Linked DNA regions of Neodiprion lecontei. The protein of the gene in region 1 purifies or fractionates together with the protein of each later gene. This does not show direct contact. Links are inferred from orthologs where the notes say so. Each region holds a gene or a part of one and is shown in the gene's direction. Other genes may lie near its edges. The genes, in order: iron-sulfur cluster assembly 2 homolog, mitochondrial; putative transferase CAF17 homolog, mitochondrial.

What was found.
Region 2: the proteins of iron-sulfur cluster assembly 2 homolog, mitochondrial (region 1) and putative transferase CAF17 homolog, mitochondrial purify together in Homo sapiens (co-immunoprecipitation; 4 studies listed by BioGRID and IntAct, with this or other methods). This does not show direct contact. The link is inferred for Neodiprion lecontei from reciprocal best matches to the Homo sapiens genes ISCA2 and IBA57.

Annotation. Positions count from the first base shown.
Region 1 is NC_060266.1:330,775-342,477, reverse strand, and holds iron-sulfur cluster assembly 2 homolog, mitochondrial, read left to right. Parts: upstream 1-8,935; 5' UTR 8,936-9,010; coding exon 9,011-9,090; intron 9,091-9,461; coding exon 9,462-9,692; intron 9,693-9,758; coding exon 9,759-9,936; 3' UTR 9,937-10,245; downstream 10,246-11,703. Other genes in the region: protein kinase C, read right to left, coding at 1-555, 1,177-1,719, 1,856-2,018, 2,143-2,264, 3,088-3,119, 4,058-4,301, 4,532-4,592, 6,591-6,923; paramyosin, read right to left, coding at 10,440-10,592, 10,633-10,866, 10,933-11,079, 11,154-11,703. UniProt on the Homo sapiens protein: Involved in the maturation of mitochondrial 4Fe-4S proteins functioning late in the iron-sulfur cluster assembly pathway. May be involved in the binding of an intermediate of Fe/S cluster assembly.
Region 2 is NC_060263.1:377,722-390,230, reverse strand, and holds putative transferase CAF17 homolog, mitochondrial, read left to right. Parts: upstream 1-4,938; 5' UTR 4,939-5,383; coding exon 5,384-6,484; 3' UTR 6,485-6,519; exon of another isoform or gene 6,520-6,621; intron 6,622-6,744; 3' UTR 6,745-6,886; downstream 6,887-12,509. Other genes in the region: acyl-CoA Delta(11) desaturase-like, read left to right, coding at 892-1,022, 1,145-1,350, 1,900-2,085, 2,177-2,576. UniProt on the Homo sapiens protein: Mitochondrial protein involved in the maturation of mitochondrial [4Fe-4S]-proteins in the late stage of the iron-sulfur cluster assembly pathway. Operates in cooperation with ISCA2 in the maturation of [4Fe-4S] proteins.

The DNA of each region.
Region 1 (11,703 bases):
GCGCCTCCCAGTCCATGTCTCGGAAAAATGGATGAAGTCGTATGGCATTCTCGCCTCCGTTAGCTGCAACGCATCCCAATCTTTTGGCGGGATTCTTGGTCATAAATCCCTTCAGAATGGCAACAGCTTCCTTGGTCAGCCATACCGGATAAAGGACGTCGTCTCTCAATATTGACTCGAATAAATCGTCCTCGTTTTCAGCTTCGAACGGTGGCTGACCGGCCATCATTTCGTACATAAGAACGCCGAGCGCCCACCAATCGACACTCGCGCCGTACTGCAGTTCCTGAAGTATCTCGGGCGCGATGTAATCGGGGGTGCCGCAGAACGTCGTCGTGGTTTTGACACCTTCGATTATGCCCTCTTTACACATACCGAAGTCGGCGAGTTTGCAATGCCCCTCTTGGTCCAACAATATATTGTCCAATTTCAAATCCCGGTATATCACACCGTGCTTGTGAAGAAATTGTAATGCCAGCGTAACTTCGGCAGCGTAAAAACGTGCACGAGCCTCGTCAAACTTGCGAGCTCTTTGAATTTGGAACATCAGATCACCTGTCGATCATTAAAAGTTCACTGTCAGAACGTACGTTTCGATTTTAAATAAATTATTAATTTGCTCAACCTTGATAAGCCAGACTAAGAACTTCTCGCTTGAATGCGTTTCGAACTTAGAAAACGTTAACCAGTCCAATCTTTTTTTATTTTTACGTTGTTTTTTAAATAACTCGACAATACCAGGGCTGCGACAATTTTGCTAAATAAAATTACCTAACTTGTCTCGTCAAAAAATTCAGAATTTCCAGACGTTTTCCCACGAAGCTTTTATGACCAAAAGCTCTAGAAGTTATGCGCCTTGAATATATAAAGTTGGATCTTAACGTTTATTTTACACAAATAATTAGAAATTTAACGATACCATTTCTGAAAGTTAGCTTAACCGAATTTACGAAGCACAGATGAAGTTTGAAAACAATTTTAAAAAAAGCAAGTTTTTTCTGTGGTTCACCATAATTTCCCGACTTTTTCCCGATAGACGAAATTCCCCGACTATTCCCGGTCTTCCCGGTGTGTCGCCAATTTGATGGAGATCTAGTGAAAACTCAACCTTTCATTCTTGGGGTGTTCGTATCAAGTTTTTCTTTTAACCAATTCGCAAAAGACAAGACCACCCACCTCCATTGACATATTCCATAACGAAAAAGAGCCTATCTTTGGTCTGAAAGCAGCTGTGTATGGCGGTGAGAAACGGATGCTTGGCTGCCAGAGCTAGTATGCGTTTCTCTGTCATGGTACAGTCGACGTCGTCGTCCTGAATGATGACATCCTTCTTGAGTACTTTGACGGCGTAAACTTCGTCCGGTGACCCTTTTCTTTCGGCAAGCATTACCTTGCCGAAGCTTCCTTTGCCAAGGACTTTGATGAAATGAAAATCTTCGAGCCCGAGCTTCCTGTAGCCGGTATCTGGGCCGCTTCCGCTGTCGGTCGGTTCTTTCAATTTCGAGGCTGGCACCCCTTCGGAGAACGTTTCGTTCGGGGGAGCCGACGACCCAGAGCCACCAGATTGGCTCGATGACTGGTAGTTGATCCTGGCTGGTTTGTTCTTATTGTCCGGCGAAATTCCCATTTCGTTCAAGAGATCAGCCAAATGCCTTCTGTTGATACCACAATTGTTTGCAACATTCTTTTGACATCTCTTGTGCACGCTCATATGGCAGACTGAAAATAATTACCGAAAGTAAGACAAAACTGTATCGACATTTGACCCGAGTTTGGAAGTTGCTGACTTAACGAAACGTCGCAAAATCCAACAACAGATTAACGCATTGGTAATGATTGAATGGAAAAGATTTACCTTTGCATTGTAGGCCTTGCTTTATAAGACCGTACAGAAGAGACCCGCAATGTTCGCAGAATGTGAACCGTTTGAAACTGTGTACGACAAAGCGATGGGGAACATTGACACTGAATCTTTGGCTCTGGGTACTCTGGGTTGTCTGTAAAATATGAACGTTTCCCTAAACGGGCAGATAGTTTGAATTAAAATAAAAAACGAAACAAAAAAAAATAGACATCGTCTCCCTAGCGGTGTAAGGAAGTTTCTCACCCCCCTGAGATAATTTCGATAATACAGTTACCAACTTGAGAAAAATTCAGTTTCTGTTCCAGGAACTTGGTTCGTTCAACACTTACTTCGTCTCTCATGCCTGGACAAACAGTGACGACGGACTCGTGACATCTTTTGTGAACGACACATGTGCAGACTGTAACAAACGTAGGGAAAACTTTTTATACACATATATTCTACAGCAATTGTTATTTTCGTTTTTTCTCTCGTTCTTTGAAAATGTGTGAAAGAGGCTATTCGAAAAACAGTACGTTAAGTAAGCTCCGATAAACATGCGCCGTTTGAACTGCAATCGCTCATTTCATTTCTGTGACATAAAACACTGTGAAAATTTGTGTTAAATCGTGCAGGGCGAAGAAAACATAAAATAAAATTATGTTAATTGTACGTTACAATAGAGAGTTTTGCGAAGAGCAGGTGTGAGAATAAAATAACGCAAGTAGGAGCTTAACAACCTCTGCTATCCCACCTTGTAGATTGAAAAACGCACAAACAAATGTCATAATCAAACAAATAAATTGTACAACGGAAAAAGTAAAACGGACATGCGCTAAAGTCATCCAACATGACATAGACATATAATACATGATAAGAAGAATACAGGTAGAAGAAGAGACATAGGGGCACAAACATGGTTAAATGATCCGTAAAATATTTTCACTCGTACTTTGGCAAGACGCAAGTGCATGTAGGTCTGAACCCTGACTGAGTATAATCGGAATGAAATAAAAATAATATAAAATAAGCAAATAAACAAAATAACACCTACTCAAGCAGAAAGCGATCGACGAATGGGAAATATCTTTGGATCATTGGTGTCTCTGGGACATAGGAAATGGGAGCGTACGTATATAGGAGCAACTTGGTACAGCAAAAAATATTAATACGCACATGGGATTCCGCAAGCAGGCAATTAATTATTACTATCGGTTAATAACGTGATTTTGTGTCTTCCTCACCTTGACATTGATACCCTTGCTTGCCGAAGCCCCTGAAATACAACAGACAAAACACGTCACATCGTCTCCTCAAAATCCCTAATAACACATACGCGTATCCCTCCTCTGACGTTGCTACCCAGAAGTTACCTCTACTGTTTCTATCGTTTACCCTAAGCCAAGAGATTAAAAGGCAACCTGACATTACGCGTCACTTTGGATGATAAGAAATGGACCACGTATCCTAGACGTTAGCATTTACGAAACGAACAGACTAGGTTTCAAATTGTTTGAAGCAAAGTGCAACTGGATTGATCCTAAGATTTGGCAGTAGAAATGCGTAACGTCAGCTTGTGTGAAATACCAAAGCGTGCAACCCCAATTCCACCAATGTCCACGCAGTTTCAATTACTCCTCCCACAGTTTAATCACAAAAAGAAGAACCAAATGCATGCAGATTTGTGTTTGATGATTGAGAGGATTGTAATGATATATAAATATTATTATTTTTGTAATAGAAAGACCACCACACCCGGGACACGGACTCGGCACTCATACAGCGGAAATGTTTCCCTTCCGTTGTTTTTCACCCACAGTAAACTGTGTCGCATTTCCTTAAATAAAGCAGACATCGGGAGAAGTATTTATGCCGAGACCTACACGAGCACATACAAAGTATTCCCACAAATTGCCCAATTAAACACTAAAATTACCCATTCTATGTCTAAAAAAAATATCAGTCCAAACATCCGAACTCTTGCTGCAATTACTGTTGCATGTTTTGAAAATTGGATTCGCCGTATCCAGACACGTATTTTTTAACCAAGTATCGAGTATTCGATTGTGAATCAAAAATCCAAAGACGAGCGGATGTTGGATATAGGTGAGAGTTTTGTCCTCGGTTTGATACGATTTTTAGTACAGTACAAACACAGGGGGAAAAAAAAATTAAGAATAAAAAACAACAGGATACATTGATCGAAGTACGTACCATATAAAGTCGCCACAATGGGAGCAGAATGTAGGCTGCCTCAGGAAAGTCGCCATGAATTTATGCCCGTTGACTTGATGCACCCTTCTTCGCATCGCCCCTCTTCTGCGATTGAAACCTTGTCGCTCTTTAAACTCTCGTCTCGGCTCTTTTCCTCCTATCGCTGCGCCTACTCCGCTTCCGCCGCCTGTGTCTCCGGACCCTCCGCCCAACCCACCGCTTCCGCAGCCAGGTTGTTGTTGCTCTGTTTTTGCATGAAAGCATTACAATTTCACTCTGTTTTACAAGTTGAAATTCTTCCATCTTTGCTCCTTTAGAAATAGATCTAAAGACGATCTATGCTATTCTTTGTACCTTTCATTGTACGTATTGTACTTGTTCTAGTCTGCTCAGTAAAGAATTTAATTCTCTTTGCATGTTTATTATAAATTATTCCAGGCAAATTATTCAATGGAAACATGTGCCGACACTGACCTTGATTCGTCCATTTCAGGTCTATTTGTATCCTCAGTTTTCCTTGCGGCTCAAGGTCGACCTGGAACGAATGAAGACTATTAGTTCAGTCTGCGTAAAAGTTACGCAACATCGCTTATTTATTAACAATGAAAACACAAAGTATTACCAATTAGGTACAATATTTGCAGGTAATCCCTGCGGAGTAAAAGCGACTAGCAAAATTCAAAGATGTTACCATTGCGAGTGCCGGTTCATTTATTTTATAGCGGAATTCGAGGAGGAGGTACAGGGATGTTTATACACGAACGTTAAATTAAGACGACCTTTCTGAAAAATAGAATTAAAATCCTACCTTTAAGGGCAATTGCTTGCTGATTCAGATGTTTGTTGCGAATGATTCTGATTGTAATAAAAATCAGCCAAATCTTTCTTCCTTTGTGTTTGCAATGAAATGTGACAGACCAAAGGATACTTACATGACGGTAGCTACAATAATCTAAAATATTCCCCATGGCAATGTCCACATGTTGAGGCATGAAAGCCTTGAATAAGGAATCTTAATTGCACAATTATGGACGACACGGTATAGTAACAAATTCTCCAGAATCCTCAACACTTGTCTATGTTGCAAAAACCTTGCAGTTTGAGTGGAAAGTGAGGAAAAATTTGATACAATTGATTATGTTTTTACGGAATAATGTTCAAAGATGCATTGAACACAAAGACAATTGCAAAATGAATTTTCTAAGAATGACTAACAGCTCAGAGTTCAAGAAGCTTTGTAGAAAATTTCCTGTGAGAAAATTCATGATGCTAAATAAATGACTGGAATTGGTATTGTTATTTCAATGATTCAAATTTCGGAAAACTTGTTATTTCCTAATTTTAGGAATATATGAAATGGAATAAATTATAAGGCAAAAGAGATTCATATTTTGGAAACTTGGCCATTTCAGAGTCACTACAAAATTGCAGAATAGATGTCCCCCTCCCCACACACAAATATTTCATTAAGCTAGCGTTATTAACTTTGATCTCATGAACATTTGCAGTGGGAAAAATTTGATTTTACCGAGCAGATAATAAATTTTTTGACCGAATAATCAAAACCATTCAAGACAAAGATAAGTATTCGCCTCTTATCTATGATACACATATGCATACTTGTGGCCTCAGTAAGCCATCAAGGCTTTAATTTATATCTAGTCTACGCAGCAGAGCGTTGTAAGCACTAACAGTCATATAGGTGCAGTCTGCCCTCGTTTCTCGATGAAAACAGCAAATATGTTAAAGACGAAGAGCTACGGATGATTTTCTGTTTCTGTGCTATCTCCCTGGTAGGGATTTAACACCCGTCGACGGAATAAATACGGTGAGCGATGAAAATCTTGGTAATTCCACTTTAAATCAGTGAACGAAATCTCAATAACGTTAAATTTTTTTAATGTACAACAACGATGATTAATAAATACCGTTTCGCTGGGGTAAAGTATAGCCGCCTTTTTCAGGGTCTCGGCACGAATGTGAATCAGCCTTTGAAAACACTTTTCAAAACCATAATTTCTGTGTGTTTGAAACATTTTCTTATTAAAGAGGAAAATTAAGTAGAGTATCCAACCGTCAATTTTTTTTTCAACACTCTTATTTTACAGAAAATCCAAACAAATCTTGCAAACAGAGAATTTGCCCAACACACAATACTCTAAATAAAATTTGCACATACAAATATCAGCCATAAGATTTGGATTCGAATTCTCTCCTTAATGAGAGATACTTCTCGTTTTCGATATGAATTAACCAAGGTGCGAACGCGAACTGCTAGCAATCTCTGACTCGCTTACGAAAGGACAAAGTATATTTGCGCATAACTCTTCTTATCTAAACCGCTATCAACCGTATAAAAGAAACATTACTAAGAATATCACACCTATGCGACAACAAAATCTCAGCATGCTGCATATTCACAATAAACGTTTCATCGAAATATTGTATCGTTGCATTTAATAACGCCAAAGCTGAGAATTCTTTCAATAGTGCTACGATTAGGAAAAGGACAATATAGCTGAATACCACGAACCCAGAAATCAGCTGCATCGTCTTCTCGGTGAACCAGATCTTCGAATCTGATGCTGCAATTGGCCACAAAATCATCGGGCGGCAGAGCTGCGTCGTGGAAAACGGTCAGCCCGAGCGTCCCCGCATCCAGGACATGGTGCGTGAACGATTCGTTCCACACAGGATCGAAGGTCTTTGGTTTGGTCGAAGAGCGGTCGAGCTGATTCTCGTCGACGTCCAGAAGGACATAGGGATCCAGAATTGGCGGTTCATCTTGCCAGAATTTTCTCTGCTTATCCGTTGCCCTCAGGCCAGATGCTTCGCATATTTTTACCTTAACCGTGCCAGTGAACATTTTACCTGTCTCCCTGCCACTTTATTGTATACGCTTGACCGTCTCAACGACTGACGATGAAACCTCAGGTGTTTTTGACAGTCTGCTTTAGGGTGGGTGATTCTTCTTTTCTCTTTACTTACTCTCGGATTTATACTCGAATTCCAATACCGAGAGAATCCCTAGGGATGCAAAGATGTGGGACAATTTACGAGAGGGGGTGAAACGGGAGAAAAATAGGAATCAAAATTTTTCACTACTTTTGATAACGCGGTGATTCGTGTTTATTTTGTGACTGATTGGTTCCTCTTCCTCTTTTTCTTCTTCTTCGTTTTATTATTATTATTGTTATTATTGTTATTATTTTTCTTTTTATCGTAGTCTTTTTTTTTCCTCGTCTAACGTTGAGCGTTCACCTTCACCGTTGGTGGTATGAGTGTTGGTGCGGTCGACAGTAACAGTGTGTAGTTGTTGGGTCGAGAAAACAGAGGTTGTTAGTTCCAGTTTTAAAAAAAGCGGACTCCCTCTTTGCGACTTTTTCTTCGTTCCTTCTAGCTTCTTTATCTTTTTTTCTCTTTATTCTGGTCACCGTTGCTCAACAATCAACACTGGTTCTCCCTCCTCCCGACGGTTGCACATAATACTTAACAACTAGCGTAGCATAGCAGTGTCGAACGAGACACTTTAATAAAAAAGTCGGGGTTAAACGACATTGACGAGTTACAGACCCGCCGCGATACCCTGACAGCCATCAAGGTCGATTTTCCGTAAAAATTCACCGACTCCGATGCAGTTAACGAGAGGGAAAAAAACTCGAGACCCAGGGCTCGATCCGCACGACTATCCAAGGCACATCCAAGGGCCCCTTTAACACGGCCAAGATATACGCGGCGGAACGGGGAATACGGGAATATCTAGCGTTGCTCGTTCGTTCGTTCGCTCCCTCCCTTGCCTCCCTTTCACCCTCCTGCGAAGCCACCTTCCGTCCTTCCTTCGTCGCTCCCTTCGCTCCGTCAGCACAGACGTCGCGCTCCGTCGCTCGATCGGTTCGTCCGTCGCGTCGTCGCCGCGGCACCATTCGCGGAATCTCTACCAGCATGAAGTAGAAGGATCTGAAACCGTGGAATCGACATAGAGTTTACACACACTCCTGAAGTAAGCCGTTCAATGGCCGCTCGCGTGCAAGGACTGCTAGTGTTACGGGACCTTTCGTAATCGAAAATGGGCGAGATTAATTCGTTGCCAAGTCGCGCCCTCTTCATCTTCCCCTGCAGGTGCATATCAGTCGGTACGTAGAGGCGAGAAGAACTGACGTTACCGTCGCTCACCGCGTGTGCCCAGATAATACAGTCGAACATTATTATCGCGAAGTGGCTATTCGTTTTTAATGCAAAATCTTATTAAAATGTGGGAAATACAAAACGGCTTCTGTCTGTCCATAGGAGTTGTAACGAAATGAGAGAATCAATTTCGTCTACAGGTCACATGGCCCACATGGCACGTCGGTCCGCTGTCGCTGATCTAACAATTAGAGAAGTCGAATAGATCCCGTTCGAAATGGAAAACAATTCGAATAAATTATCCGTCAAAGGTCTCACTAATGTGATCTAATAAATGTAACATTTCAGTTATACGAAAGCAGTTGGTCAGAAAACTTTTGATCCAGTACGGACACATGTTGAGTACTGTTTTTGTTCACAATCAGACCACGTCCAGCCATTCTGGCACAACTGTTCTGTAAAGAATAAAATCTCTAATTCTCCTACCCGATCTCCTTTTTCTTTTTTGCGATCTTAACACGTCCACTCGATCCGCTACGTTTTTCCTTTCGGATGCAAAAAAAAAAATTCTGACAAAAGTTTTTCTGATATCTTCATCGGAACGCCAATCTTACTTGCCTGCACTGCCGCTTATGGACAAAACTAGCAAGACTAGAGTAACGCCGCGGCCCTTCGACCAGGCTTCTGGAACTAATTTTCGACGACGAATACATGTCGGTAACGTAACGATAAAGTGTACTTCTGCGACATCAGTTGGGAATAGAACCCGATAGTCATTAAAAAGAAAAGAAAACGTCAGCCGTCAGGTGGACATTAAGTCATTAAAGTATGGCGAAATTGGGGCAGGCGGTGAGGGATCTCTCCTCCAATTTCTCCTCGAACCAGTATTTTTCGCGACTACTTCTCACGTGAGTAACGCAATTATCACACGATTACGGAAATATGAAACAGGAAACCAGCGACGTAGATTATTTGCTATTTATCGTTCGATCCCAGAACCACGGGATTATGTTTCAATAATTTATATGTATTTTCATGTGGCAACGTCGACGTCCGGTCGGTCATCGTATCCAAACAAAAGTCATATACGCACCCTCTAAACCTTGTCATGAGGCAACCGACATTGTCGAGATCAATATTTACATTTAACTGTCAATAAAGTGGGGTTGATTCGTGTAAAACAATCTTATCAGATTTCCTCGCTATTCATTTAGACTATTATGACGCTTCTTGACGTTTCGTCTGCGACGATATCTATTGAAGTATTGTCAATTTTTAGGTCGCCATGGCGCGGTGGTATCTGGGCTTCGGCACGTTGGACATCTGCCACAAATACATCGCCAGCTCCACAAGATACCGGCCTAATAGTCAGCGACAGCTGTGCTCAACGCTTGAAAGAATTGGCAACCAGCGCTGAAGAGGCGTGCCTGAGGGTTACTGTAGAAGGAGGGGGATGCTCAGGATTTCAGTATAAATTCGATCTTGACTCAACGATAAACGAAGATGACAGGTAAGCTTGTGCATCGTTACAAAAGTGGCTTTCATGTTTTATTAACAACTAAATTACTTCTTTCAGAGTTTTTCAAAAAGACGGAGTCAAAGTGATCATAGACACAACTTCGCTGGAGTACGTCAAGGGATCGACTGTTGAATATCACAAGGAACTAATTCGTTCGGCGTTTAGAATAACAAACAATCCTCTAGCTGAACAAGGGTGTAGCTGCGGTGCCAGTTTCGCTATTAAAGTAGACTGACCCGATACAAATAATCATAATTTTTAGCAGATCGTCTCCTCGATTCTAATTATCGGTTTTGAAAATGGTCCATATATTTTTACAGACTCGCAATGATTGCAAAGAAATCGTTAATTTATTTTGTAGTTTTTAAGTGGTAGTTGATGTTATAAGTAAAATGTACGTGTATGTACATAGGAATATATACACGTACGTGTATATTTATAAGTATATTACATGAAATTATGTCATGTATTAATGATTAGCGACAGATAAGGCGTTACGAAAACATTGCACATAGGTTGTTGATAATTTATAATAAAATTCGTTTCAACGAGTTGAAAAAGCAAAACAACTGATCAAGAAAGGCTTTAAATTATACATGTATTCATTTCCTTTACTTACGTTATATTTTCAATCTCATAAACATGTGACGGCGGTTATACCGCGTTAGGTAAAATGAAACTGAATATTTAACGTTGACTAAATTCTACAAATGAACGTAGTGGACATCATTGTATTATTTACACGAGATTATGTTTTACACTATGTATTGTGATAATCACACAGATTAACAGGCATATCCATGGAATGTGACATAGGCTCCAGCTTAATGCCAGCAAATTTATTTTTGCTTCCCTTTTTTCGCATTCTGGAAAAAAAAAAATATCAATGATCTATTGATGGGTAAAAATCGCGGTTCCTGACTCGGCTCACCTTATTCCCCAACTCAAATTTGAGCTGCTGTATTTCCTCTGTTTGCTGAATCAATTTATCATTCATGTTGGCAAGGTGCTCACTTATAGTGCTAAGTTGAGCTTTGTAATTTCCCTCTTGTACTTCGTGATCCTCGCGCATTGCGGCAAGACTTGCCTGCAATTCTTGCAATGCCTCCTCACACCGTTGCCTTTTAGACTCGCTCGTTTCCAAGTGTATATTCATTATTTCAGTCTGAAATTACAAATAGTTTTTAGTAGAATACATATTTGAAACAGTTTAGGGTCAACTTGTACTCACATCTGCAGCTATAGCCAAGTTTCTTATGTGATAAACATGTTTTTCCGAAATTAGTTCGTCAATCTGCTGCTTATAATACTCCTTGATTCTTGATTCACGAGCCTCGATCTCTTCAGGAATGGCAAACGGTGACCTGAGCCTTCCTAACTGCAAGACGGAAGGTAGGTGTGATGAGTGGGCGTTGAATATTAGCTATTGGTAGTAGAATATCTCTGAATTACCATATTAGTTATTTCTACAGATTCGGCAGTATGACTTTGAATTTGACTAGTTTTCGTTTCTTCAGTTGCTTTCAATTGATCATACTTTATCTTGAGCACATTATACTCTGACTTCCAGAAGTTAAGTTGCTTCTCCAGTTCAAACAATCTGCCAATGTCCAGTTCTTCGGTAGTTTCTTCCTGCGAAACAGACTTTTCGGGAATCCTGGACTTGGCTCGAGGGCCGAGAAGTCTCTGGGGCGACGGTGAATTCGAGGGCTTTGATTCTGGGTGATGAATATGATGGACTCCGTATCCAGAATCGGAATCCTCTGTTTCACAGTCGTTTGAATTTCGTGCCGAATCCCTGTGCAACGAATCCTTTTCCCCGTTTTGTCGTGACACAGAATTATCATGCTTGTCGCTCAACTTCTTCTGTAGTTCCTTGCGCTCCTTTTCAAATCTGGCTGCTGCGGCATGGTGCTTGCTTTCCAGTTCAGCTCTGTTTTTCTCCAACTGGTCAAGCTTGAACTCCAACTGATCTATCCTCTCGTTCAGTCCGACGATCTCA
Region 2 (12,509 bases), on another chromosome or scaffold:
AGCTGATATTCCTGAATCTAATACGTAAAGTCGGCATTCAAGGCGGTCCCTTCGTTGATTGCTAAATTTATATTAAATAAAAACTTTTTACGAACAATTTAAATGAGGTTGAAATTCGTAACGTCAACGTACCGAAACGCGGTGAGAAAAATTGTAATCTCACATCATGTTCGGAACATTTTTCAATGAGTTTATTTTGCAAAATATGAGCTGACTTTACTATGTTTTGCTTAATCTCAGACAATGCTAATGTTGCAAAATAATCCGTTCTGCCGAAAATGCATCGCTTTAATAATGCTACGAACTGCAACCTCGTCAGTATAATCCGTTGATTTCACTATTCGAGAACACTGCGATGAACGTTAAATACGTGTCATAATCTTCAATGAAAAGCATTTTTTACAACCTTAGGTTTCGATGGTTGATTTGTGTTACACCTCCAATTATAGCCGATCACCTAAGGTGGACGTCTGAAAGAAGATTTGCTTGCACAAGAGAAAATTCATATTTTCTATCGAACTAAATATCTCTCATAAGTTCGAATGATTTACGATGCATCAAATTATGACTATTTTGTACGATCACCTTCGTAACAACAAATTTTCTCGCGTTTACAGCGCGTCATAATTTTATATACATATTAAGCTAATGCCCTAGCACCAGACGATTGAATTTTATTTCAGAAATTTGAACTTTTCGTAGGACTGACTGTAACGGAAAAATGTACTTGACATTTGAATAAGCAGACTTTTCGAAGGTTCGGAACTCTATCAATTGGAATCAGACAAGTTTCTCAACTCGGAATCTAACATCAACCAATAATTCCCTTGAAAACTAATGATTTCTCACAACTTCTGCAACAATGGCTATTTTATTTCGTTAATGCCGCAGTATTCATCGTCGGTTGTGGAGCATTCGTTGGAACAACGGCAGGAGCACATCGGCTCTGGTCTCACCGCTCGTACAAGGCAAATCTCCCGTTGCGAATACTGCTGATGTTCCTCTACTCCGTTCTCGGATTGGTAAGCGTACCCCTGATCAAAGTACCGAGAAATTTGAGAGAGAGCAAAATAAAAGCTCGTTAAAAATTTTCCATCGAACAATAGTTCGTTTTTCAAAATCCGCGCATTAACGAACTTCACAGTACACGATCTACGACTGGGCAAGGGACCACAGGGTCCACCACAAGTACGTTGAGACGGACGCAGATCCCCACAACGCTAAGCGGGGCTTCTGGTTCTCCCACATGGGCTGGCTCTGCGTCCATCGTCACCCGGAGTGTCTGCGCCGAGGGAGAGAGGTCGACATGACCGACGTAAGGAACGACAGAGTCGCCATGTTCCAGAGAAAGTACGACGCCCACTTTTCCGTCTAATTTCGATTTTTCGCATTACGATTATAATTGGCAAGAAGTGAGAACTTATTTATTCCCGACTCAGCCATATAATGTTGACTTTTTTTTACCTAAAAAGCGGGACGAAAGTAGCACGTTATTCCGTCTTGAGGGGTAACGTCAATGTAAAAACCTGAAACACGCGCATTTTTTTTTTTTTTTTTTTGCCCGCGAGAATCCAGAAAAAAAATCCTTTTTTCTATTTTTTTTCCTAATTCAAATTTCCGCCATTTGCAGAATTCAACATGTACCGCGAGAATGGCTCCAGTATCGCCATTTTTAAATATTTTTTGATAACAATCTTCTGTATTATACTTAAATGTATGCCTAATGACATCCTTAAATATTATTATCTTATTAGCGTTTCTTCCGTAAAAAAAAAATTAATCAAAATAGCGCCTTTCTATTTTTTTTACAGTAGTGTTACCAGTAAACAAATTTACGGGAATAATCTTTGACTTTATTCCTTGGTCGCATAATGTACTATTTCCTAATTTTTAATTCAGATACGGTACCATTCTAAACATCATATTCTGCTTCACATTACCGACGATAATCCCGGTAATATATTGGGGTGAAACTGTAATGCATGCTGTGCTGACTCAGGTTTTCATACGCTACGTCCTGGGCGCACACTGCCTCTGGAGCATAAACAGTTTCGCACATCTTTGGGGCGATCGACCTTACAACAGGTCGGTATGAACGGTTTTTTTTTCTGTCTTTCTACTTTACGTTGAGTTTAATTGCAAGTATAATTGTGATTTTTTATCATTTTGTACCCAGACTGATAAACCCGGCTGAAAATATGTTGGTTTCGGTGCTGACGGGTGGCGAAGGATCGCACAATTATCACCACACGTTCCCTTGGGACTACAAGGCCTCCGAGTTGCCCTACATAAACTTCAACGCGGCAACGATGTTTATTGACGCGTTTGCCCAGATCGGATGGGCATACGACCTGCGACAACCCTCGCCCGAACTTATAGACAAAATAGTTCATAGAATCGGCAAGAAGTCCACCGTTCCTGTGCAACACCAGCAGTACTGGTTATTCAGGCACATTTCCGAACTTGGCTCTCATCTCAGGCTGTCGCTCAGATCACCAAAACGGTTCCTCGGTCAGATTTTCATGAAAGTTCACCGCAACTTTCATTTCTGCGAGACGAGACCACACCAACAATAACTGTTGAGCTGTTTACCAATGAGCGAATGTAACGTAGATACCTATATCATTTAATCATATGGACCTGATAGATAACGAAGTAGAATAGATGTAATGTTTTTCCTATTATCGCTGTTACGTGTCCCGTGTATGATACTTTTGTACGTGTATTATTAATCGTGATCGCGGTAAATGAAAGCTTACCTTTGAGTCAACAAACTCCACGTTTCAAGTAAAATGGTGAAAAATGTGTAGTTTCAACCGTATCTACCAAACGAATTGCGCTTTTCTCACACTGTGTGCCTTCGTAATATTAAGTCTCATCATTTGCTATTGTGAAACATCGATACATGTATTTAGCGGGATGCACTCGGAATAAGATAGGGAAATACGAATTTATCACGGCTCCATACCCCTCATACAATACCGAATCATTATTTTTAGTTTCATGTACGTGAGAAGCAAAAATTGTATCACGAAAAACTACAATTCGTCAATACTTGACCAATAAAAATAGGTCCGTTTTCAAATTTTTATGACTATTCACCTCAGATCACCCATCCTCTTCGATTGTAGAATGAATTTAATGGCTCGCCTCCTGTTCACTCATCATCAGCCCATTGTTGGAAGCAAATAAATTATTTTTCCATGATATTGCCGTGGTTTTTGATTTAATAATAAATAAATTATAGAAATGAATTATGTAACAAGGCTATCAAAATGAGCACAAGTTAGTATCGAATAAGAGTGCGTACGATCAGTGAGGAAAGTATAAAATCAGTGATCAGCATTCAACATCAGTCGAGATTCTAAAATCGTTTACGGCCAAAAGCGACAACGCAATTAAAAATCATATCAGTTACGTACCTTCCACGTTTATTCACTGTAGTGGTTGGTCAAGTTTTCACTTCGTTCTCAGAGGTCGATTGAGTCGGGTTATTTCTTTCATAGCATAACTATTATAAATGCAGTCGATAGTACTGACCCTATAACTGGGTAAGAGATAACAACATGTTATCAGTATTCCATTTTCCAAACCGACACATGAACCATTGAAAATTTAGGATAGTTTTTACAAAATATAATCAAGGATCGAATAACAAAAAAATTCAACTGAAAGACAAATTTCTGATGACAAAAGTAGCGTGTTAGTATAATCAAGAATAATTTCATGTGTATACCTGTGTTTTATCCTGCCACAGCATTATGAACTGTTCAGCTTCGGAATTTGGTTGACCAACGAATATTATTAAAGTAACATTCAGATATTCGCTAACCTCAATCAGTTCAGCTGCGGCTTAATTCTGTAATCAGGTAAAAGACCACAACATTTTGTTAATATTTCGTGTTCAACATCCATATACTGAGTGTTTAAGTACATGCAATTTTAGAGCGTTACTTATTGCGTCGAGTCTCGCAAAACGTTACTGATTACATAATCAAGTGGGAAATCATTCGGATCCGTTTTACACCGGTTGATTTTCTGTAATCAATTCATCAGTTTCGCTAGCGAATGATTTCTTCCCAGATTCATTCACAGAGTCTTTCAATTCAAATAATCACAAACGCCGATCAACGTAGTTACAATTTGTTTCTGTGATCGGGTAAAAAAAAATTTTCTAGCGAGGTAACTTTTCAAATCGATTTAAACAGCATTCAAAATTTACCATATACTTATTTAGAAACTTAATATGTATGAGAATTAAACAACAATCGACGGTTTACATTTACTAAAAATTTCAAAACAATCAGTAATGCCGAATGATGCAATAAAATTCGTTACCTGGTAATACGAGATAACGAAATAAATGATCACTGTATCGATCTCCAGGAAGAAATTCGCTGACCCTGTCACGACTAAGAATTATCAATAACAATCGATTTTCGTTTGAATCGATTATTTTTTCCGGATTAATCAAGTATAATACATTTCTTTTTTTTTTTTTAATCGTTTGATCGATGGACGCGATTATTTTTCCTCACATTCGGTTTTTGTTTCTTGACTTCCATGAGCGACGTAATACAATATCAATTTATGCGTATTCATGTGATTAGAATATCAATCGTCATCATTGTCTTACTTACTAAGTACCTATTTGTTATAATAAGTAAAAGACAAATGAAGATATTCACCTAAAATTGAAAAATATTTTAGACGAAACTATAAATTATGCAACAAAACTTTTCAACTATTAAGACTACAGGCTGAAATTTACGAAATTTTGGTTTCGTGTGGACCGTTACAAAAAAAATACGATGTACCTAATCAATGCATCGACTAATTTTTAACTGACTGGCCAATTTTAGTCACAAATACGGCAGTAACTCTACGCCATTATCCACTGCTTCCGTGCTATCATCTACGGCAGAATAATTATCAGTCGATTCGTCGACTAGCCATCTCGAAACTTAGTTCCAAATACCTATTTTGTGTCAGAGGGCGCTACGAGATCAGCGACATCACTCTCTGGGCAGCTGACAATCGGCAGATTATCGATTACCTAAATTGCGAATTCCCGATGTGACGATCCGACCAACGCAGTGGATATTATAACCTCTAAATGCGAGTCCCCCATCCACCCCCGCCCATTTCTAGTGAGACCGTAAATTGTTTGTAAAATTATTGAAAACTATCCGCGCGAATGAAACACAATATAACGTAAGCTGATTTCACGTATCGTTGATATACTTGCATTCTATCCGCACGAAAATCCAAAAATTCCTAACCTAACTTAACCTCTACTTCTCATCACATTCGCCGGAATCAAGTCGGGAGGGTTCGAAATTTGATAAGAAAAGATAGTAAAAAGCCAATTCGTAATAGAAATATGTTTAAACTGAGGCCATCGCGACTTCGACTAGCCGCCAACATGACGAGAAGCAACTCGACGAATCCAACTAGCAAAGTGATAGAACACCTGAGCAAGAGGAGCCTCCTCAGAGTTTCTGGCACAGAATCGTCCTCGTTTTTGCAAGGTCTGATAACTAACGACATGAGGCACTTGGACGAGGGGAAAGCGAGCATGTACACAATGTTCCTAAATACGAAGGGCAGAGTGATGTTTGACGCGATACTCTACCGAACGCATGAGATCGGAGTCTATCTGCTGGAGTGTGACAGTCGGGCTTTGATGTCCGTACAAAAACACCTCAAGCTCTACAGAGTGAGGCGAAAGATAGACATTGATGATCTGAGCAACGAGATGAAGGTCTGGGCATTATTCGATCCTGACAAAGCATCGATTGAGTCGTGGAACGCTGGCGCGAACATAACGAAGAAAATTAAGCTCGAAGGACAGATATTCCCATGTGATTCCCTGGTTGATATCGTTGATACCAGTTCGAGCAAAGTCATAGAAAACATCAGGATATACCCAGATCCAAGGTTCTCGGGTCTTGGTTTCCGCATTTTATCCGACCTTGGGACACAAACCGGAGACATCGTCGCTCGCGTCGATCCAGACACCGTGGAGAGTAAGGAGGTGTCTACTGGCTACAGATCCCTCATTTACAAGCTGGGAATTGGCGAGGGCTGCGACGACCTGCCGCCTGGCAAGGCGCTACCTCTGGAATCAAACTGCGATTATTTACACGGCGTCAGTTTTCACAAGGGCTGCTACATTGGCCAGGAATTGACGGCAAGGACATACCACACAGGGGTGGTCAGAAAACGACTGATGCCCATTACCCTTGAAAGTTCCCCTCCTGAGCCCATAGAGTACGACGAGAGCATTACAGATGAGAGTGAGAAATCAATTGGTAAATTGAGGGGACATGTCAATGAGAATGGACTTGGACTTGTCCGTATCGCCGAAGCACTAACTGCTCAGTCTCTCAGAATATCTGGACTCAAGGGAAAGGCTTTAAAACCTGTCTGGTGGCCGCAGGAAGCTCCCAAAGAAAGTGCATCGATCGGAAAGAGCGATTGAAAATGAGGGTAGAAGGGCCTCCAATGGATAATATTGTATAGACAATATTACTATTTTTTAAAATCAATTAGTAATATAGATGAGAGATTATTTTGTATAAGCGATGCCGGCTGCAAAGACTGATACGATAGATTTAGGTTCATTCTTTGTGTTCTTGTTATACATCCTCTTATTTATTCTTTATCTCGTTATTGTTATAGAAAAAATTGTCTTCTGACAAATAAATCTATTTATTAACCAAATGAATAATTGATTTCTAGGATGGAGTCAGTAGCTACCACATCTGCGGAATATTCCGAGTTTTCTGAAACTCATAAGCGAGTAAACATGGAGCCGGAAAGTACGAAGATAGAAAAAGATCGTGGCAAAACGTTTGAGTGTAGCTTTTGCGGATTAGCGGAACGTTACGATTACAAGGGCTCTAAGCCACCGTTTGCAAGGACTATGACTTACTTGGAAGAATGCTACATTATGAAGGATCCATTTAGCCTACCCAACAGGGGGGAAATCCTAGTGCTAGGTTCTGACTGTGGAGTTTGTACAAAACCAGTTTGTCTAGGCTGTAGTTTATTTTTTATCAAAAGATTCTGCCAGGCTTGCGCCCAACAAAAAATGTCCAGTTTGCCCGTTCAGTTACATGCCAAAATAAAAGCCTTGAAAAAGAAGGATGTTAACTGATCGATGACAATCTTTAATTTATTTTCATTACTATCATGTAAATGTACAACACACATTGACGACTGATAAGATAATAAAACGATTCAAGTATTGGGAGAAAACTATGTTCCCTAAAATTCAAATATGAGATCAAATCCTACGCGACGAGTGATACATTCGTGATTCGGCTAGCCGGAAAATGAGTCATATTCATTGAATTTCAAGAAGACCGTTACTTGAATATAAATGTGAAAAGCAAAGTCTGATTTTTTCCCTATTCGTTCTATATCGGATTCTTTTACCGTGACAGCTACATCCTGTGAGCGTAAACGGCAGTTCATTACAGAATGTCTTGACCATTCGAATATGCCACATCTAGAGGCATAAGAGTTGTAATAGTCAGAGTACGCAGTGGCAAGAAGTGAAGACAAAAGAGAAGGACAGCAAAGGATCGCCGTTGTTTTCTAGCGTCTGCTTTCGCAGTAGCTCTTATAATTCTGGACTCTGCCAAATTCCTGAATCCAGTGGCTTTCCTTTACACCTGAAGCCTGCCATATTTTGGTAAAGACCTGATAAAACGGTAGATAGTTTAGGAAGAAATACTAGTTAGCTAGCGAAACTACATATAGCAAAAGAGTGTTTGTGGATTTCAAGTACAATATTTTATTTATACCGGCGTACACACACTGAAAAATGCCTCATTTATAATCAGGGTCTATTTCTATCATTGTCTAATCCCAGCAGAGCTTTTATTTTCATAATTTTTCCGTTCGTGACTTTTCTAAAGTAAGACAACGTTCGCTCTTTGTTGTTTTTCGAAAGCTGCTGCTGATAGTAATCAATAATTTTTTTTTTTTTACCGAAGTCGTTTTAGTCTTAAAACTTCTTTCTTTCGAGCACTGCTACCAAACGGAGTGTGCAACGTATCAGTAATTACAGTATACATGGTGTCTATATTTTTTTTGGGCCCATCCAATGCTGTCTGGCCAAACCTAGGCAGAGGTGGTAAACCAGCCGGTCGTTTAAACTCCTGGTAAGTTGGTGCAAATGAATCGTGTAACGAAATATCTGTATATTCAATACTTTTCAAACCATTATGTACGTTTTGCCCAAAGACTTTGTTGATAATTTTTTACTCCTCAAAACCACAACATCATTCTGTTACAATATTCGATTTATACGGTCGTACAGAAACTGACAAATGTTTTATTTATAATCAATAATAGTTTTATTTTTTAACCTTGTAGAAATTTTTTTTTTTTTATATCTATTCGCGATTCGCATTACTAGTTTCAGTTCCGTAAATCCTAATGTGTTACCCTAAGTTTGTGGAGTTAAACTTCAACCATAACTGCATACTTGCACAATGCCTGCAATATCTTCAATAGCTATATTGTTGGCAATCGAGTTATGAATTTTCATTGAAATTCGCTTTAAATAAATACTGGTATTTTGTTCCATTGAAGGCAGATTTCAATACTGTAGTCTAAAAAAATATATTCTATAAAGTGAATAATAAGTCTATAGAATTCGCTCGTTTTCATCATTGGTATATTAAAAAAAAAAAAACATACGTTCCGCAGTCAAATTCAAATTCACCGCTCTGAGGCAGCCACCGTGAAGATTTTCCGCACGGTTCCATTCCGCAACACTGACGGATTTCATACGTTTTCCTGTGGACATTTTTTTTTTTTTTTTTGCGAACACAGCGATATAAACTACACGGTCACGCCATCGCTACTACCGCGTGGTCAGTTCCAGCCAACGGCCAATATGCGGATGGTGGCGCCACCACCGTAAATCACGGATTACAGTCTGGATAACTTCAATGAAATCAAGGTGAAATTAGTTCGAGGAGTTCCCGCGAGGTGCGGCGATTCTGAACTTCTCAAGATTTCTCATTGTCAGTGCTGGTTTCATTACTCCCGAGTTGAGCGTCGCGCTTCTCAGCCCAAGAATCGGTTCATCGATGTTCCGCCTTATTATACAAAACTATAATTTCTATTCGAACACGTAACGAGGCTCGGACAGACGGTGTGCCAAATTCGTCAGTTTATTGTTCATTATTTATTTATGTTTGGCTTGTATCAACTTTCCTGTACGCTGCTTCGATTTTTTTCTCTCTCTTATACATATTAAAAGAACCCTGACGGTCTGGTCACCGCGAGTATATCGGCAGCAACGCGAATCACGTACACCGACGAACACTTACCCATGACAACGCAAACGATAGGTAGAGGGGAAATAGAATTGTAAAAACGAAAAGAAAATCGAAGAAAAGTTATCGATTCAAAAATCACCGTGAGGTGATAATAATCGGGACAAGAAAATCAGATTGACACAGTCATCGTCGTCGTCATCATCGGTATCCAGTCACGTGTTACCTAGTCGAAACGTCGGCGGTACCTACGTCACAAGTCAAGGACAACGGTCGTGCAAAAAATTGAGAAGCTCCAGCGCGACTGCCTGCCGTTCAACAAGTGTGCAGGTAAGGCGGGCTTTACATCGGCTGTTGCATGTAAGTCAAGCAGGTGGTGGCGTCGTTTTGCGAAAAGTTACGAGAGCGGGCGGTACGCAAGCTAATTCAACAAGTTAGTTATCGAAGGCGATTTAACTTGTTTCCCCAACCACTCCCAATTATCCCTTGCTCTTCAAATTCTTTGATGTGTGCGTATTCTACTTTCGCCCTGGGAAGTACACGGGTGATATTACTTAACTCCGGTACGTTCAAATTTCATCACATTTCCAATCAAGGTATAACTAGCTGTTACGCTCCGTGTCATGTCTCTTAACGTACGAAAAAATTACAACACGTTCAACCACTACACAGAAATGACGGGTTGACACGTGCAAGGCAGATGACAGAAAATTGCTGCTATCAAGTGCCAATGCCAGTGTAGTCGCTTATCTCTCAATAAATTGTAGACCTTATACTGCATACTGTAATCAACTGCAAGCATGTAGTATAATACGTAATTATTCGAACTGGAATCATTTCGTGATCTTAAAACCGTTACCAATGTTACTATGTGTATGACGGTGAGTTATAGTTGCAGACCACAGGGAAGGGATATCTTATATATGTAATTTTTATAAATTAAAAAAAAATTTCATTGCGACGTCGCTCAGATCTGTGAAAAATCTGTGCAAAATTTCAAGTTCCTACGTCAACTTAAACATGTACTTCTAAGCTCCGTAACTTTTAAATGTAGAATACATGTAGTTTTTATACCAAGTTATTTCGTTTTGTATGAGTTTGGTATAAATTAAGGGACCGATTTGAAACTTGGCAGAGTTGTTGCTTATAGTAATAGGAACAAACCCTGTTCAAGATTTCATCATTATCGTTCCCTTATATACACTACCGGCCAATAGTTTTGTCGAAATTCTTGCTGCACTGAAAATTAGATAACGGACTCAAAAATAAAGATAATCAAACGTTCCAAGTGGCGTTTTAAAGATAACAAATTTACCTTCATTTTGCTTTTTTAGACAATACCCTACTATTTTTTTTTTTTTTTTTGCCCCGGTACACATTTTTGAACGTGGCCGTTATTGCGGCTATTTTTTAGCCACCGGAAATTATTTTGAATTCTTTCTGTTCAGAAATGTTTTAACGTAGCATGATTATTACTTTACGTAATCAAGGCATGTCATATCTCATTATCGCAAAAAAATGAATAGTTCGATAAATAAGGTTTGGACGGCGCAAGTGCCTCGCTTTATCGGAATATTTCTTTTATTCTCTCTGTTCGTATCCACGCACCTCTTTACCGCGAAATTTCACGTAAAATCAGGAGCGCGAATTAGCACGGAAAGAGAGAGAGAGAGAGTGTGTGTGAGCGAGTAAAATGTTACTCCGAGAAGCGTAATTCAATCCAGACATGACATCCGACTCTCCATGCAGAGTTTGAGAGTAATTTGATGCGCGGACATTCAAGTTCAGCCCTCACCGGAGTCGAGTAATAATTAGGCAAAAACGGCAAGGACGTAAGAACGTTGGGTGTACGTGTGTTGCATACGACGATACTGTATTAATTCACTTGCCTGTGAAGGTCCTTAACTTATTTATGGTCATTTAACATTGAACTTTAATCTGACTGAAAAACCTTGGTTGCCACGATCACGCATACAGATTGAATTAACGATATGATTGTTATTGCTATATTATGATACGGGGATTTCAATTTCAACGTACAGTATACGTATCATCGTCAATCGTGCGTATTATCTATCATCGCCTTACGTCCGGAACTTTATCTCCAACCATACAGGAGACCACTCGAGTCGATATCTATCAAAGAGTGATCATGTAAAATCAATCTCGATCACGGCGCACGTATAGATGATGTATACGTAAATGCATACATATACGTAAATCTAAGCCACAGGTACAACCTGGGCGCAGGTAAATTTTTACGGACGCACAACTTCTTTGACAACCTCAGACGTGGCAGCAGCAGCAGCAACTATTTCTAGAGCAGCACACAAATATTATACATTTGAATAAAAGATGAAGGAGAAGTGGAAGAGAAGAACTTCTATGCCACCCCCCCCCCCCCCCCCCCCCCCCCTCGACCCACTCTTTCTCATTGTCAGCGATGTGAAAGAAACCGTTTCAAAGATCACGAAATCGAAGTTGGTTTATACGCTAATGTAAAGATGTAATATTTTTAATAACCCCTATTTTTCCACTTAACCATTGTCTGAAACTCACAATCAGTAAACCGTGTAATTTAAGCAAAACGTAGTTAAATTTTGGAAACTCGGCTAAATTGTGTCTCAATTTTTTACCCTCATTTTAACCCTGCAGGGCTGGAGTTACCTTTTTCATTAGGAGATAAACTTATTTCGCCGATCACGGTTGAAAGAATATATATTAGATAATGATCAATTTTCGAAACCTCGTATCATCTATTCCAAAAGTAATACACAGAAGGATATTAACGAGTTCATCGTCGGTTATTCCATGGTTTTGCAGAGCCTCGAATCAACAGCGTACCCGGCTACCGTTAAATTTCGCAGTATTTTTTTCGATTGGTAGCGAACCTTGACAGTTTGACACCGACGCGGGAGAGGGAGAAAAGATTCGGCTGCGCTAGCAACGTTACCGCTAAAATTCTTACACGCTATAGTCAGCGAATTTTGCAATCTCATCGCGGCGTGGCGTACATCACTCGCGTTATTATAGTTAAATTGTTCACAATAACATCATCGCGCTTCGCAAGTGCCTGCGAATATTGCCCGAGGAGTACATTTCTGCACATATAAGATGCGCTCAACGCTACGAAGGTATTGCAAAACCTCTACATCGACACATAATTGCGAAATTTTTTGCCTCTTAACGTTCGAACGAATAGGCATTCGA